Linked DNA regions of Saccharomyces cerevisiae S288C. The gene in region 4 interacts genetically with the main gene of each other region. Each region holds a gene or a part of one and is shown on either strand. Other genes may lie near its edges. The genes, in order: ECM3, FIT2, MGA1 and YOL162W.

Region 1 (4,026 bases), 490 kb from region 4:
AAAGGACAATATTTAACACATCCAAGTACAGTAAATTTGTCATGACTATTGGATGCTACTGAGTTGTGGAAAGACTCTAATTAATCTATATTAGAGATTAAATAATTATTTATAATTTTTGATTATAAACATGAAATAATCATGTATGTTTTATATGTAAATACGCTATACCACTTAAAAATTAATGAAAAGGATATTTATGATTCACAAATAATTAAAAGATCACCTTTTTTCGTTCCATCAGAAAATCTTATGTTCGAAAAAAGAAGAAAAAGATTAGTAACACTGAGAAGCTGCGACTAAATGTTATTTTTTTGAATAACAATCAAAAGTGAAATTGTATAAACAGAAGAAAAAGCATGAAGTTTTGTTTTCATTATTATTTTTATACTATGAAACTCTATAAAATCTGAAATAAGTGAATTCTACGTTGATAAAAAAAGACCAACAAACAACTATAAAATTACACCCTGATTCAGTTGTACGATGAAATGAAATTATGAGAATGAGAATGGGAATGCATGAATAGATCTTGTTTCTTCCTTAACGAACTTTATAATTTCATTTGAACTTTGATGAAATAAGACACCAAAAATGGTAAACTAACGACCATCAAAGGATATTGAAGCATCAAAAAGAAAGAGGTACATTCCATTTGAACGGGTTCAGTTTCGTCCTCAGGGGTATAACTTGCAGTGAAGTAGATTAAGGTGGTCATTGTTGGTAAGTTCCAAGTAATGGCGGTAACAAACAATAACATCTTGTCGTTTTCCCAATTTAGCCATCCCGCTTTCACTAGACGGTCACACCACAAGACACCAAAGATCGGCATGATACATTGTCTGAGAAAGACTAATACCACTGCGGATTTCCAGAAACCAGGGTATAATTTTCCAATTTTCAATCTACCAAGAGTAGCGCCTAAAAGAATCAAACCGAAGGGAACTGAAGCGGCTCCAACATAAGATGTAAAATCCATAATGAAAGTTAGAGCAGGTGCATTATCTGGGGCTTGTTTGATTTTTGGTGTATTACTGGTCGTAACGAAAAGGGCTTTTACCCAGGGAATAAAAGCGATAATCAAAGCCAGGATAACAGCCATGGAACAAGGCCTTAGACAATTTTTTAGAAAAAAGACGAAAAATTTTGTTAAGGGAAATTTCTGTAGCCATTTTGGTAAAGAGGAACCGGAAGTCTCAATATCTTTCTTACTAACAGTGGCATCTGAGGTGATTATTCTTGTTAGGTTGGAAGTTTTGACTCTTTGTAAAGTGGAGGTTCTAGTCAAATTTGGAGAAATAGTACCGTCTGCCTGCAAAACAGAGGGTGCTCCTTGGGAGCTGATAGAACTTTTCCTTCTTCTACCGTATTGATCAACATTGGAGTATTCACGAATTAAATCCGACATGCCTTCCGCGGGTAGTTCACGCATATCGATGGAACGTAAGGAGCCAGTGATGGAATTCCTGCGGTTATTATGAACATGTGATGTTCTTGACTCGGTAGTGTATGCTATTGGTTGACTTCTAGTTCTGTAAGTAGGATCGTTAAGCTCGCTTACAGATTGGGCATCCACATGGTTTGTGCGTAGTGAGTGTGTAATGCTATCGATAGAGACCACCGCGGATGAGTTCGAGCTCCTGTCATCTATTGCTGGAGGGGCAGTATGTGTAGGCTTGGGGACAGAGAGTTCAGTTTTTTCTTTTTTATTTTTCTCAGAAATGTAGCTTGCTTGTGAACTGTTAGGAACGGTAGACTCGTTGGGCTCTTTCAGGATATCTTGGTTGGATGAAGAAGAAGAATTGCCTTCAATTGGTTGTGTTGGCTGTTGGGCAGAATCATCATTGGTCAACGTATTTTCTTCATCGTCATCACCTTTGTAATGGAAATCGTTTTCAATTAGTCTGAAACCACCTAAATTGAAAACACATATCAAAAACATGGCCAGAAAGATGATAACGTTGGCAACACCTTTCTCACCTTCTGCTTCTGTAAATATAAACCCTTGGTCCATGGATTGCAAATAGGCGATGGGTAGATCGCTGATATTGGGAAACATACCTCCTGCAAGTATACCACCACGCCATCTCTTAGGAACAGGCAGCACACTGCGAACAATAAAGGCAAACCCCAAGCCAGTTGCGAACAGTATAACAGACGTCAGACAAATAATGCCGACATCTTTGATATCGTTATCTTCTATATTTGCTACGATTTTATTGAATGATAAACAAGGAAGCAGAATTGTTAAAACGATATCAGAGATGGACCTTGTGGCCTGAACGGTTAAGATGTTCATCTTGCATAAACCGAAGCCTACACCAATAATCAGATAGATTTTGATGATTGGTCTGACAGAGGCCCAGATGGCTTGTCCCAGTGTGATGTGTGTCATTGTCTACTTGTCTTGAACTTACTCTTTGTCTTCTATTGTTTTGTTTGTGTTGGTTCTATAATGCTAAACTTAACTATCTATGCCTTTTTATCTTCCTCTCGGTAATGGTCAACAATACGCAGTTTCTGTACAAATGTAAAGTCTGAAAAACCTAATATAAAGAAAAATTGCGAGGCTTCTGAGAAGAAATTCCGGATGCCCTATGATGAAAGTCTATATTAAAAACAATGAAAGGCCTATTATATAACAAAAATTACAAGCATATAATAACGGTGCAAGAGTAACAGATGGTAGCGTACGAAGGAGGGATGCGTCAAACATATATTCAGGCCCTCTAAGTATATAGCCTCATCCCCCGAGGCTGCAAAGAGATGCAGTGAAAGGAAGCTCAACTATCACCGATTGTGAAATAGAGAGCAAAACTCGAGCACTTTTAATCCCAGATATTGTCGGGCGGATCCGAGGTGAAAAAACACCTCAACAACGTGGGGGCGTGGGGCGTGGGATATCGAAAGGGGCAAAAAGACGGCAGATAAGCATGGGCCGCGGTCGTGCTGCGTGATCAGCTACATGACGTGACATGCTTTGTGTTGGTGTGTGTGCGTGTATTATATATACGGTGGCATATATACAGTTTAGTCTATATGAATTTTAGACTATGCGAGCGTGGCGGAGTTGGCTTTTTTGATGTCGAAGGTGGGGTTGCTACCGTCACCGTAGTCCTTGATGCCGCCGTCGTCTTGGTGGTCAGCCTTCTTCAAGGCATCTGTGAATTCAGTAAGATCCCATGCGGATCCCTGGGTGACGTCGTCTGGCATGTCGGCGTTGTCCGTCTCAAATGACTTGTTTTCGGCGCTCATCTTAAGAATGATTTCTCTACCAGTAGGTTTCCTCTTACTAGATAACTTCTTTTCAGCGTTAATCTTTGCGATGACGTGGTCCTTCTTCCATTGGGCGAAGTTGGCAATTGTTATTGGTGTTAGCTTGGATTTGTCTAGTTTCCCTCTTTCTGTTTCGATAAACTCCTCCAGCGTAATTTTTGGCTGTTTCTCGAGCGACTCCCTCTCGAGCCTCTTTTGCTCGTTGGTTTTCAGCACAAAGCCCTCTGGTAGGGAGTGTCTGTACATACATTTGTCACCTCCGTTAGGACAAATCCAAAACCAACCGTATTTACCGTTTTCCACGGCCTCGATGAAGTATTTGCATACTTTGTCGGTGGTGGTCTTTGGGTTACCGTGCTTCGACAGGATAACTTTTCTCAGCTTTTCTTCATCCCAGTTGTCCATTGTGTCATTTTCCTTTTCACTTCTTGTATCTTGGTATAAATCTTTCTTTTCCATTCTTCTACCGACGTTCAAGTCATGTGAGAACTTACATTTGGCACCTTTGTTACAATTCCCCAGTTTGAACAGAGCACAAACCATGGACTTGGGATCTACACCCGCACGAACCCTTTGGTCTGCTACAGGGTTGAATAGTGCTCTTCGTTCAGCTTCTTCGGCTTCTCTGCGCTTTTTTTCTTCGAGTTTCTTTAACCTCATCTCTTCTTTCTTGGGGTCGGATTGTGATTGCACTTGTTTGATGTATTTTTGGACTTTGGTAGAACGGTTCTTGTTCTTCATACCGAACGT
Region 2 (2,918 bases), 1.0 Mb from region 4:
TACACCGGTGCTGCTGATGCCATCACCGCTGGTACTGGTTTGATGGGTGCTGCCCTTGCTGCCGTCATGTTATTGTAAATGATATGTGAATAATCATGCGGGATATCCGATTTTTATGAAGCACCTTGCGGCTTGGCCTTTTTTCGAAGTTATGTTAGAATAAAAAAATTTTAATAACACACATTAAGTATGTATGTATATATACTGTTTCAAGTTCGTTGGTCTTCCTTTAATTGTTTGAAACGGTTAAAAGTATCTAATTAAAATAAATATACCCGAAATCATACTAAAAAAATAGTTAATATTAATAAAAGTAATGATAATAATAATAATAACAATAATAATAATACGATGATGATGATGAAACGAAAAACTGCTACATTGAAGTCACTGAGAAACGTAATGAAAAAAAGTCCTTTTTACTAGCCTTTTGAAGGAGAAAGACAATTATATTAGCTTTTCATAGATAAGTTATAAATATGCTATACACGATAACTAATAGCTTTTTTCTGGTTTGAAACCGAGCTTATAATAGGTAAGAAATCAAACCAAGGGCCAATGCACCGACACTTGCTCCTTGGAATGCAGCAGGAGCAGCACCAGAAGAAGAGGCAGAAGAGGAGGAGGAGGATGAGGAGGATGAGGAGGATGTAGATGATTCGACGGCTTGAGTGACGGTCTTGGTGTAAAGGTTGGTTGATGAACCTGAACCGTTTGTCAAAGTAAGTGTCTTTGTTGTACTCTTTTCAGAGGTGGTATCTGGTCCTTCGGTGACAACCTTTGTGTAAGTAGCATCACTATTACTGACAACGACAGTTCTAGTGGTACTGTAACTAATGATAGGGTCAGCGGTGTCGGTAACGACCTTAGTGTAAACGTTATTACCGTTAGTAGCAGTAATAGTCTTAGTGGTCATTACACTCGACACAGCTGCTGCCGAGACGGCAGTCATAACTGTAGTAGCTCCGAAAATAGTTGAGAATTTCATTATTATTGTTTTGTGATGGCTTTATGATAGACTTTTTTACAAGGACCGTAAAATTCTGCCTGAAGCACGCACACATTCCTGTTTTATACATATATTGCTAGGTAATATAAAATGCTAATTATACTGCACCCAGTTAGATTCGTATACATCTTATCCGAACTCGATTACAAATTATACAAGTGATCCAATTGGGTGAACCTCGAAACAGTTCTCTGTTCAAGGGTCCGCTGCGGGGCGAGGGGGGGTGCATTTGAACTTAGGGTGCATTGTTTTAAATCCTATACAGGATATGAACTTAGTTAGTTCAATGATCGCTTGATAAATTGCACCCTGCTCTTGAGGGTCATTCTAAGTAATGAAATTTTGGGTGTTTTTGTTTGCCGTCCTCGTTCAATTCGCTTCCGCCGTTCTGGAAGCCCCGTTAACTTCCGTTCCCGCATTCCGATCGCTGTAGGGCTTGGCGTCAGTAGCACCCAGATATTTCACTGTAGGAGCTTACTTCACTCATTTCAATTGGTATACAGAAATCTATGAAATGTAGTTAAAGGCATCACTAATCCGCATCCGCGATACCCGCAACATATACGGAATGTCTATGTAAAAATGTCTCCTGTGACTTTCATTAATCGAATCTTTCTATAAAAAAAAAAATGAGCAAATCACAGTACACCCACTACTCGCATCATCAACGTTGAGTCAGTAGCAAAGTCTCCAGTTATGGTGCCCTCTGGTCCAATTGTAGTAAATTCGTTTGCACGGATGAAAAATAGCTCATGAATGTTCTTGTGTATTTGAATACCATTATGTGCGCGGCTCATACGGATTTAAGTGTGATCTTCCCCTCCGTATTCCCTGTCAATAACTCAAAGTTTTCCCATTTCGGTTTGAAGTTCTTCACAAGGGAGTTTCTTGGCGCAAAGGCATGATGATCGCATTTGCCTCAGTATATTTCGTCATTTCGGTACTGAGAAACGAAATTATTTTGCCTGTTGTCTTGCGTTTTGGCAACCCTTAAGAATTCATCTAATATGTTGGTCCTTAAAGATAAGCGCTTTTGCTTGTAAAATTCTGATTTTTTGTCTTGTGATGGTAATGCTACATTGAACATCAATGCGTATCTGATTTTAAAAAAAAAATTAGAAGTGTGTATAAAATGAAGGTATTATCAGTTGAGCAAATATTACATGTGCTCTTCAAAAGTACCTGCTTTTCATTTAGTGACTATCAGGATGATAACGCCGCTCGTCTTATTTTTAACTGTCGTTTTCTGATAAATGTGTTGAAAACGTGCTAAACAACAATTACCTGTTCTCAAGAGCCTTGAGCCTGGATTGAGAGCAAAAAATCTCTCTTTCATTTTATACAGAATTCGGAAAGAAGATGGATATTTCATGAAAATCTGTTGGTAAAAAGTGGATAAAAATTTTGTATTATTAGTATGTTCTTAGTGGTTAGGTGATAACGAAGCGAGAAAAGCAGGGCAAATGGAATAGAATAGCGTGTAGTTGTTAAAATTTTATTTCACTGAGGCTTATATGCTTACTGAGAAATTTTTTTTTTTTACAAAAAACTTCTTTTTATGTTATACCAGCTGTGGATTACCACAACAATTGGAAAGAACATCAATCCAGAAAAAAAATTCAGTTAATTTGGAGGAAGAGAAATTTAAGTCATGGAACAAGAGTGGGAGACAGTTAAAAAATGCTTCCAAAGATTAGTAGATTGAAAAAGTTTGTGAAAGTCGATCAATTGTCTTCATTGCAGCTAGACATAAATTATGTTTCAGGTCAAAACAATTAAATATATACTTGTGATAGGTAAAATAGTGAGGAAATAAATAAGGTAATTGATTACCAACTTTGGTATTCTTCAAAGTATTCGATTGCCTTTGCAGGCTTCTCTAGAACAAGATTTGCCGTTTGATCCCTTA
Region 3 (3,667 bases), on a different chromosome or scaffold from region 4:
ATTAATCGGTGGCGGTGAAACGGCCAATAGAAAGATTGCCGAAGAATACGCTTCCATGCTGCCTGCATCATTCGACCTAATCTTACTCGGATGCGGAGAAGATGGACATACATGCTCGTTGTTTCCCGGGGTTGAATTTAATTACCTTGTAGAAGAGATGGACCGCAAGGTTTTATGGTGTAATAATTCGCCCAAGGCACCCAAGGACAGGATCACCTTTACATTAGCAGTAGTAGCCGAGGCTAAAAGTGTGTGCTTTCTCGTTAGGGGAGCTGCTAAAAAGGCTATCATGCATGACGTGTTAATCGTAAAAAATAGCGAACTACCTAGTGTGCTGGTTAATGAAATGGTCGGAACCAAAGTAACTTGGTTTCTCGACGACGAAGCTGGCGCCTTGATTCCTGAAAACTGCTAATTACACTCGTCTTTATACGAAACTGGCTCCGTTAATCACGACAGACAACCTTAATTACATTACATAATAATAAATAAATGACAACTGTCTTCTTTACAGCGTATGTTGGAGCTTACTCCCGAAGCATAAACCCAGTTCTTCTAGAAGAATTGACAGCAGAAAGGAAAGGGGTACCGAAGGCAAACTCAACCTTAAAAGTTCCGTAAGCAACCGAGCCTCCGCGAAGGTTGCATAACTTAAAAGAAAAACATAGCTCACCCGGTGATACCGTTACAACGCGTTAATCTTAATGCTATGACTCGGAACCACCTGCAAAACAGCGCTAACGGAAATTTCCATGGAAATAGAATAAGGGACGCAGCAGGGTTTTTTTTTTTGGCGAGCACACGAAATATAAAATTGCTTCGGGCCAGCTGCATGGAAGGGTTAATTTCGCCCCTTTATCGCAAGCTACGCAGTTCTCCTGGCTCGAGAATGAATCTGGCCCGCCGCAGACGTTTCCTGGCCCCAGATTAGGAAGCAGCGGCGGCGGAACGGAAGGTGCTCTAAGCAAAATAAGGAATATTAGCCACGCCGGTAATTCCCCTCCTTTGGTCTGCCCCTGGTCTGCCCCTTTCGTTTTTTATTTTTTTTTGGGTGAACGGAATACTCCGTGGGCGGCACAAGGAGAGCCTGCGTAGGAATCTGTGCGTCTCAGTCGGGCGGGCCGATTTAGCACCGATGGTTCGCTTTGGCTTGGGCTTACGGTGACTGCGAGATTTGCAGATTAGTGCATATCCGCGCCTTTGTATGACGTGAAGCGATCCGCCCTGAACAACTTGTTACGTATATGATGTTGACTCTGCGCCCCCGTCTCTCTGGTTGCTGCCTTCTGCGCTGATTTGGTGCAATCTTTCTTTTTTGTCTTTGAAAGATTTAAGCTTTTTTTCGAGAAGAAAAAGGAGGAACCGAAAAAATAATCTTTCAGTTGTTGACCCGTAGAGCAGAAAATGGAAGGCAGTAGATATCCATATCGAAGGAAAAGCACAAACTTATCACGTTTAGGGTATTCATTAACGTTGAAGTAATCAGGTAGTGAATAGCTCGAAGTTTTCCATGCTTTCCTTTCGGTTGCATCTTTCTTCCTTTGGGGTTTTATCTTGATACGTCGTTACTTACCTTTTTTTCCAATATATATATATTGGTAGTAGCTGATCATTGCAGAAGATCTAGATCTCCTTTACACGCTTTAAGGTTAGGCAGCTGTAACCCCTATATTGAATTTTCACCCACGCCATAAAATACAATAGCTCAGAGAACCGGTGGCCACATGCAACCTAAAACTTTCGTCCACCAACTTCATGCAATTCTTCTGGAACCGGAAGTAAATAAATGGATATACTGGTCTCCGACTGATAACACGGTATTTTTTTTGAAGCCATATGACCCTAATTTTAGTACACATGTTCTGAAGCGTTATTTCAAACATGGAAATGTCAATAGTTTTGTTCGTCAACTACACATGTACGGGTTTCATAAACTATCTCATCCTTCCCCAGACCAATCTTCTGCCAACAATGGTAACGTTAAAGAACTTGTTGAATGGAAATTTACCCACCCATCTGGATTCTTCTTCAAAGAGGCCAACGCCGGTATCTTGAATAAAATCCAAAGAAAGAGCACTGGTGTGGGAAAAGATGGTAAAAGAAAGAATATACTGTCACCAATATCTGTCAGTTACGTTGATGCTTCGAGGTTAAATGTTCTCTCTCAGCAATCCGGACCAGTTTCTGCAAGAGAACCATCAAACATGTTTATGGGCAGTCCCGTCCATTACTCAACATCCCAAAGTCCTCCACATATCAGTATACCGCAACAGCAACAAAGTAGTGGACCTTACCTAATATCTTCACTGCCCCCTCAACAACCCACGGTGAACATGATGCGAAGGCAAAGCATCTCGGCGAGGATGATGAATTCTTATGACTATCCCAATCAATTTTCCACCCAAGATAGCATAGTCCAGCCTCAGCAGCCGCAACAAGTACTTTCTCCACAAGCATTATCTGGACCTCCGATGAAGAAATCAGGAACACTATCTTCGACAGATGATCTGAAAACAACTTCCTTGCCAATTGTTAATTACCCAATGCCGTATCATCCTGGAGCTTTTGCCCAGCAGCAGCAGCAGCAGCAGCAACCGCTCCCTACAGTCCCGCCATATAGCAGTTACTCCACTCCATTTCCCTCAATGATGAACTCTCTTTCGAACTCTGCTTCTAACTCACCTGCTTTAGGAGTTTGTAATAATAATGTAACACTACCCAAAAAAAGCAATATAAGTGAAAGGCAAGCTTTGGATAACCATATACAAACTTTAAAGAACTCTCTATCAACAATCACTGATTTGATAGAAAAACATATTAACAGCGCATCGCAAGATGAAAATAAAACTCTAACTAATGATGCCATGAACAAAGACCTTCGAACAAGCTTATCCCTATTACAGAATTCCAAGGAGGAAATCATTCAACTTGAAAGTAAATGGATGTCTATGCAATCTGTTAAAACAACTGCCCTACCCCTTCAAGAGACTACGAATACATCATCGACCTTAACTTCTCTGACGTCCAGCATAATTCCCAAGAGTATACCTATAATCACGAAAGGTGAAGTCGCCACTAAACCAGCATCTTACTGAATTATTTTCAACAGAACACATCGCATCCAACTGAACAAACTGTTACCGCTGTTGATACCAAGGAACATTCAGTGAACGTAGGGAAGAACGAACATTCTCCATATTTTTGCATACTAGATACAAGGGGGAAGAATGCAATTATTTCACAAACCGAAAGAAAAAGAATCACAAGCTATGTTTGCTATTATCAATTTTTCTTATGATTAATTTAACATAAATTATGGCCTTTTTCATTCCGGCTGCGCTTGTTCTCCAATTTTTTTTTTTTTTTTGAGAAAACTTTAAAAATTTCAAATGTAAGAAAGTAGAGCAGATCTTTTAGCAAGGATCCGCTTAACATTCCAACAAAAAAGGAAAAATAAAACAATAATTTCGTTCCCCATCTATCCTTCGCCTCTCCTTCGCTCTGTAATTTTTTTTACTCGCGCGCTTCCGACTTTTGAAAGAAGGAGCAATAAAGTTAAATAAATGTAATTAAATTATGCTTTTTTAGGCAAGTTCGGGACTTTGTTGCCACGTATTGCTCTTCTATGCAAGCACTTCACTCCTTTTCTTTCATCTCTGTTTTCTTC
Region 4 (3,046 bases):
ACTTTGTCCTTCCATAAAAATGAGTCGCTGCTTCTTTTTTCATTTTTTGGCGCGTCGCGTCGGGCCGTATAGAATATGCGTCACTTCTAAGAACATGATTGCAGATCAGGGCAGTGCGAGCTACAAGTCATGGTATCAGACTCTCATTTAGAGACCCTCATTTTTCGACACGTAAAATATCAAAATTTTTGGGTTGGCACAGTTTTTTGTGGAACCGACCAAGAAAACCAAGATTTATAGCAAATTATAAATTTCAAATCTCGAATATTTAACTCAACAATATAGTGAATAAGCTCATCATACCCTAAACAAACCTAAGCAATCACCTAAACATATAATTAAGGAAAAAGAGTGATTAGTTCATAAACACCAACGGCAATAGGGTAAATATAAGTCCTTAATCCATCTTATTGAAAATAGTATAGAACATTAAATGAAAAAAATGATTCACAAACTTAAAAAATACATAACATGGAGATTGTATCCATATTTCTACATAGTTCAGTGATAGAATCTAAAATCGAGTCTACGTGAACCAGCATCACTAGTAGTACTTAGATAGTGGTCTTTTTCCTCTTCTGACATTGCATTCCACCTCTTATCCCTCTGCTTGTTGATATAGACATAAATCAATTTGCTACCAATTAATATTGGAAACATAAAAAGTGCCAAACCAAAAAGAACTCCATTTCCCTTACGATAGAGTGGGGCATCGCTTTTCGCATAAATGTTTGAGGATATGATGAGACCTGCTTGCACGAACATATTGTACAAGCAAGTAGATACTGTTCTTGTTTTAACTGATTGGGAGTTTCTAGAACACAAGGATACACAAATTGCATGGATATACGGATTATCTAATATTAAGGTAATAATTGCATAAGTTCCCCATTTATTAAACATTGTACCTTTCCAAAAGCGAAGAACTGCAAGAAGAGGAACAGTGTACAACGGTTGTAACAGACTCAAACCTAGCCTGTTATTACATTTTTCTGTCGACCATGTTAAACCAAACAGCAGGAGAATATGAAGAACAAAGTTAGGAATAGCTAGCAGGTTGGCTTGAAAGGTTGTGAAACCGATACTTCTCAATACCAAAGTCAGGTATGTGGCCAAAACGTTCGTAGGGATATAAGCCAAAAGGCCCATCAAGTAGATAGGCTATATATAGTAATCTGTTATCCCCTGCCATAACATTTTAAGTGACATACCTTGCCTATTGTTCATATCCCCTTTTGTCGGATCATCTCTCAGAATCTTGTTTACGATGATTTTTTCTTCCCTCTCAGTGAACCATCCTTTCTTGCTCCAAGGTTTCTTCGTTTGAACTACGGAGGGTACCATCAAGAAGTATGCACTGATACCGATGACTAAAGTGAAAATTCTTTCTATCAAAAAAAGCCATTGCCACCCTGCCATGCCACCTATCCCTCTCATGTGAAAAACCCCGAAGGCCACAATTGAAGTGATGATTTGTGTTAGAGATAGTGTCACCCAGAAGAACGACAGTCTTATTGACAATTCTGAAGAGCTGTAGAAGTACGACATCCAGAGAACCAAATCAGCCACAAAACCACCTTCAAATAGGCCCATAAGTGCTCTACATGTATAGAAAGAACTCTTCCCTGTCATTTTGCATTGCAACGTAGCCACTAGGGACCACGCTATCATTTGCAGAGGAATCCAACTATCAGCTCCTAGTTTCTTCGAAATGAGTTGTGAGGGTAATTCTGCACACAAGAAAGTCAAGTAGAATATGGTGTTTCCAACGTTATAATTGTTAGCATTTAAACCCAAATCATGCAATAAGTTATCGGCGACCGCTTGTGACAAATTACCTCGATCAATCTGCAAGGCCACAAATAGGAAACATGAAAGGGGAGTAACATGCCAGTCTAACTTTCTCACTACTTTTTATTCTTCTTTCTTAGTCCATTCAAATGTTGTATCAAATCTTTCAAGACATTCATACTTAGTGGACTCGTACAACTGTCTATAATACTTTTCCACAGCAGGATTTAAAAAGGGGTTTTCAGGCTTTCCAGAGAGTTGTCGGTATTGGGAATGTTCACCAATGAATAGAGAGGTTTATCAGAAAGGGACTCCTCTAACTGAGTAACTGTAGTTTCTACAGAGGCTTTTTCAGGCTTGTACTCAAACATAAATACGAAACAAAGTGTTTAGAGAGTGCTATATTAATTTGTGTCTGAAATAGTACGTTTATATACTAAGTATATTGGCTCAGGCTGCCTTCGGTTATCAGCAGTGTCAATAAAGATTTACATATCTGTGTAATGGATAAAAAACTCTATGACACCCCGATTGCTGTTGAATAGTCTAGGTGAGTATATTATCTTCAGCAGATGGCTTTTCCATCAGAGCCATTGTGAAGAAATCGGAGGAAAATTGTGGTCTATTCACAATGACAAGCGGTGAGCGTCACCCTAAAGAACACCGAAACTCGGCGAGCTGCCAGATAAGTTCTCTTTGTTTTGTCTTAGCTTGTGGCGCAGGGTCCTCTGAGTATTCTCTTACATCGCGCCACAATATACGCCACAAGCCCGAAACAGTTGTAATCACTATGAGTTTGTATTCCACCGTTAGTGTGAATCTATCTTTCCACTATTAGCTGGAATGTCGATGAAAACCAGGTGATGGAAAGTAGATGGTCTGAAACTACCATTTTGAAGAACGCAAACTTTATCGAAGTAAATCGAAACGGCAGATTCATTTGAATTTGAGATAACTTTAAATTTCAATTCACAATAGTAAATGTTATTAGGAAAACAGAATATACGAAAAGCTCTCTTCGGAAGTATAGGTGACTGTAAATAGAAACCTGTAGCTCCACCAAAGTATTATAGATTACTGTGTCTTCCTTTTTTAAACACTCTGATTCATTAGTTTCACTGTATATTAATCCGTACTTTTCCAATTGTAGTAAATACGATAACACCTCGAACCACACTTTACAAGCTTTATAACTTATATCATTCTCGATATCGTATATGATAATCAGTGGGCCAGGAATGATTTCTCTTCTTCA

Evidence for each region.
Region 1: mutations in YOL162W (region 4) and ECM3 together harm fitness more than expected from each alone (negative genetic interaction), as found in Saccharomyces cerevisiae (one large-scale study listed by BioGRID).
Region 2: mutations in YOL162W (region 4) and FIT2 together harm fitness more than expected from each alone (negative genetic interaction), as found in Saccharomyces cerevisiae (one large-scale study listed by BioGRID).
Region 3: mutations in YOL162W (region 4) and MGA1 together harm fitness more than expected from each alone (negative genetic interaction), as found in Saccharomyces cerevisiae (one large-scale study listed by BioGRID).

What each region holds. Positions count from the first base shown.
Region 1 is NC_001147.6:493,496-497,521, reverse strand, and holds ECM3 (putative ATPase ECM3), read right to left. Parts: upstream 2,396-4,026; coding exon 554-2,395; downstream 1-553. Other genes in the region: CMR2 (Cmr2p), read left to right, coding at 1-16; translation machinery-associated protein TMA46, read right to left, coding at 3,052-4,026. UniProt on the Saccharomyces cerevisiae protein: May be involved in cell wall organization and biogenesis.
Region 2 is NC_001147.6:1,057,601-1,060,518, reverse strand, and holds FIT2 (Fit2p), read right to left. Parts: upstream 989-2,918; coding exon 527-988; downstream 1-526. Other genes in the region: FIT3 (Fit3p), read left to right, coding at 1-78; YOR381W-A (uncharacterized protein), read right to left, coding at 1,929-2,096; FRE3 (ferric-chelate reductase), read right to left, coding at 2,839-2,918. UniProt on the Saccharomyces cerevisiae protein: Involved in the uptake of non-siderophore and siderophore sources of iron. Has a role in the retention of iron in the cell wall and periplasmic space.
Region 3 is NC_001139.9:986,325-989,991, forward strand, and holds MGA1 (Mga1p), read left to right. Parts: upstream 1-1,724; coding exon 1,725-3,095; downstream 3,096-3,667. Other genes in the region: 6-phosphogluconolactonase SOL4, read left to right, coding at 1-415.
Region 4 is NC_001147.6:8,222-11,267, reverse strand, and holds YOL162W (uncharacterized protein), read right to left. Parts: upstream 1,150-3,046; coding exon 502-1,149; downstream 1-501. Other genes in the region: YOL163W (uncharacterized protein), read right to left, coding at 1,162-1,671.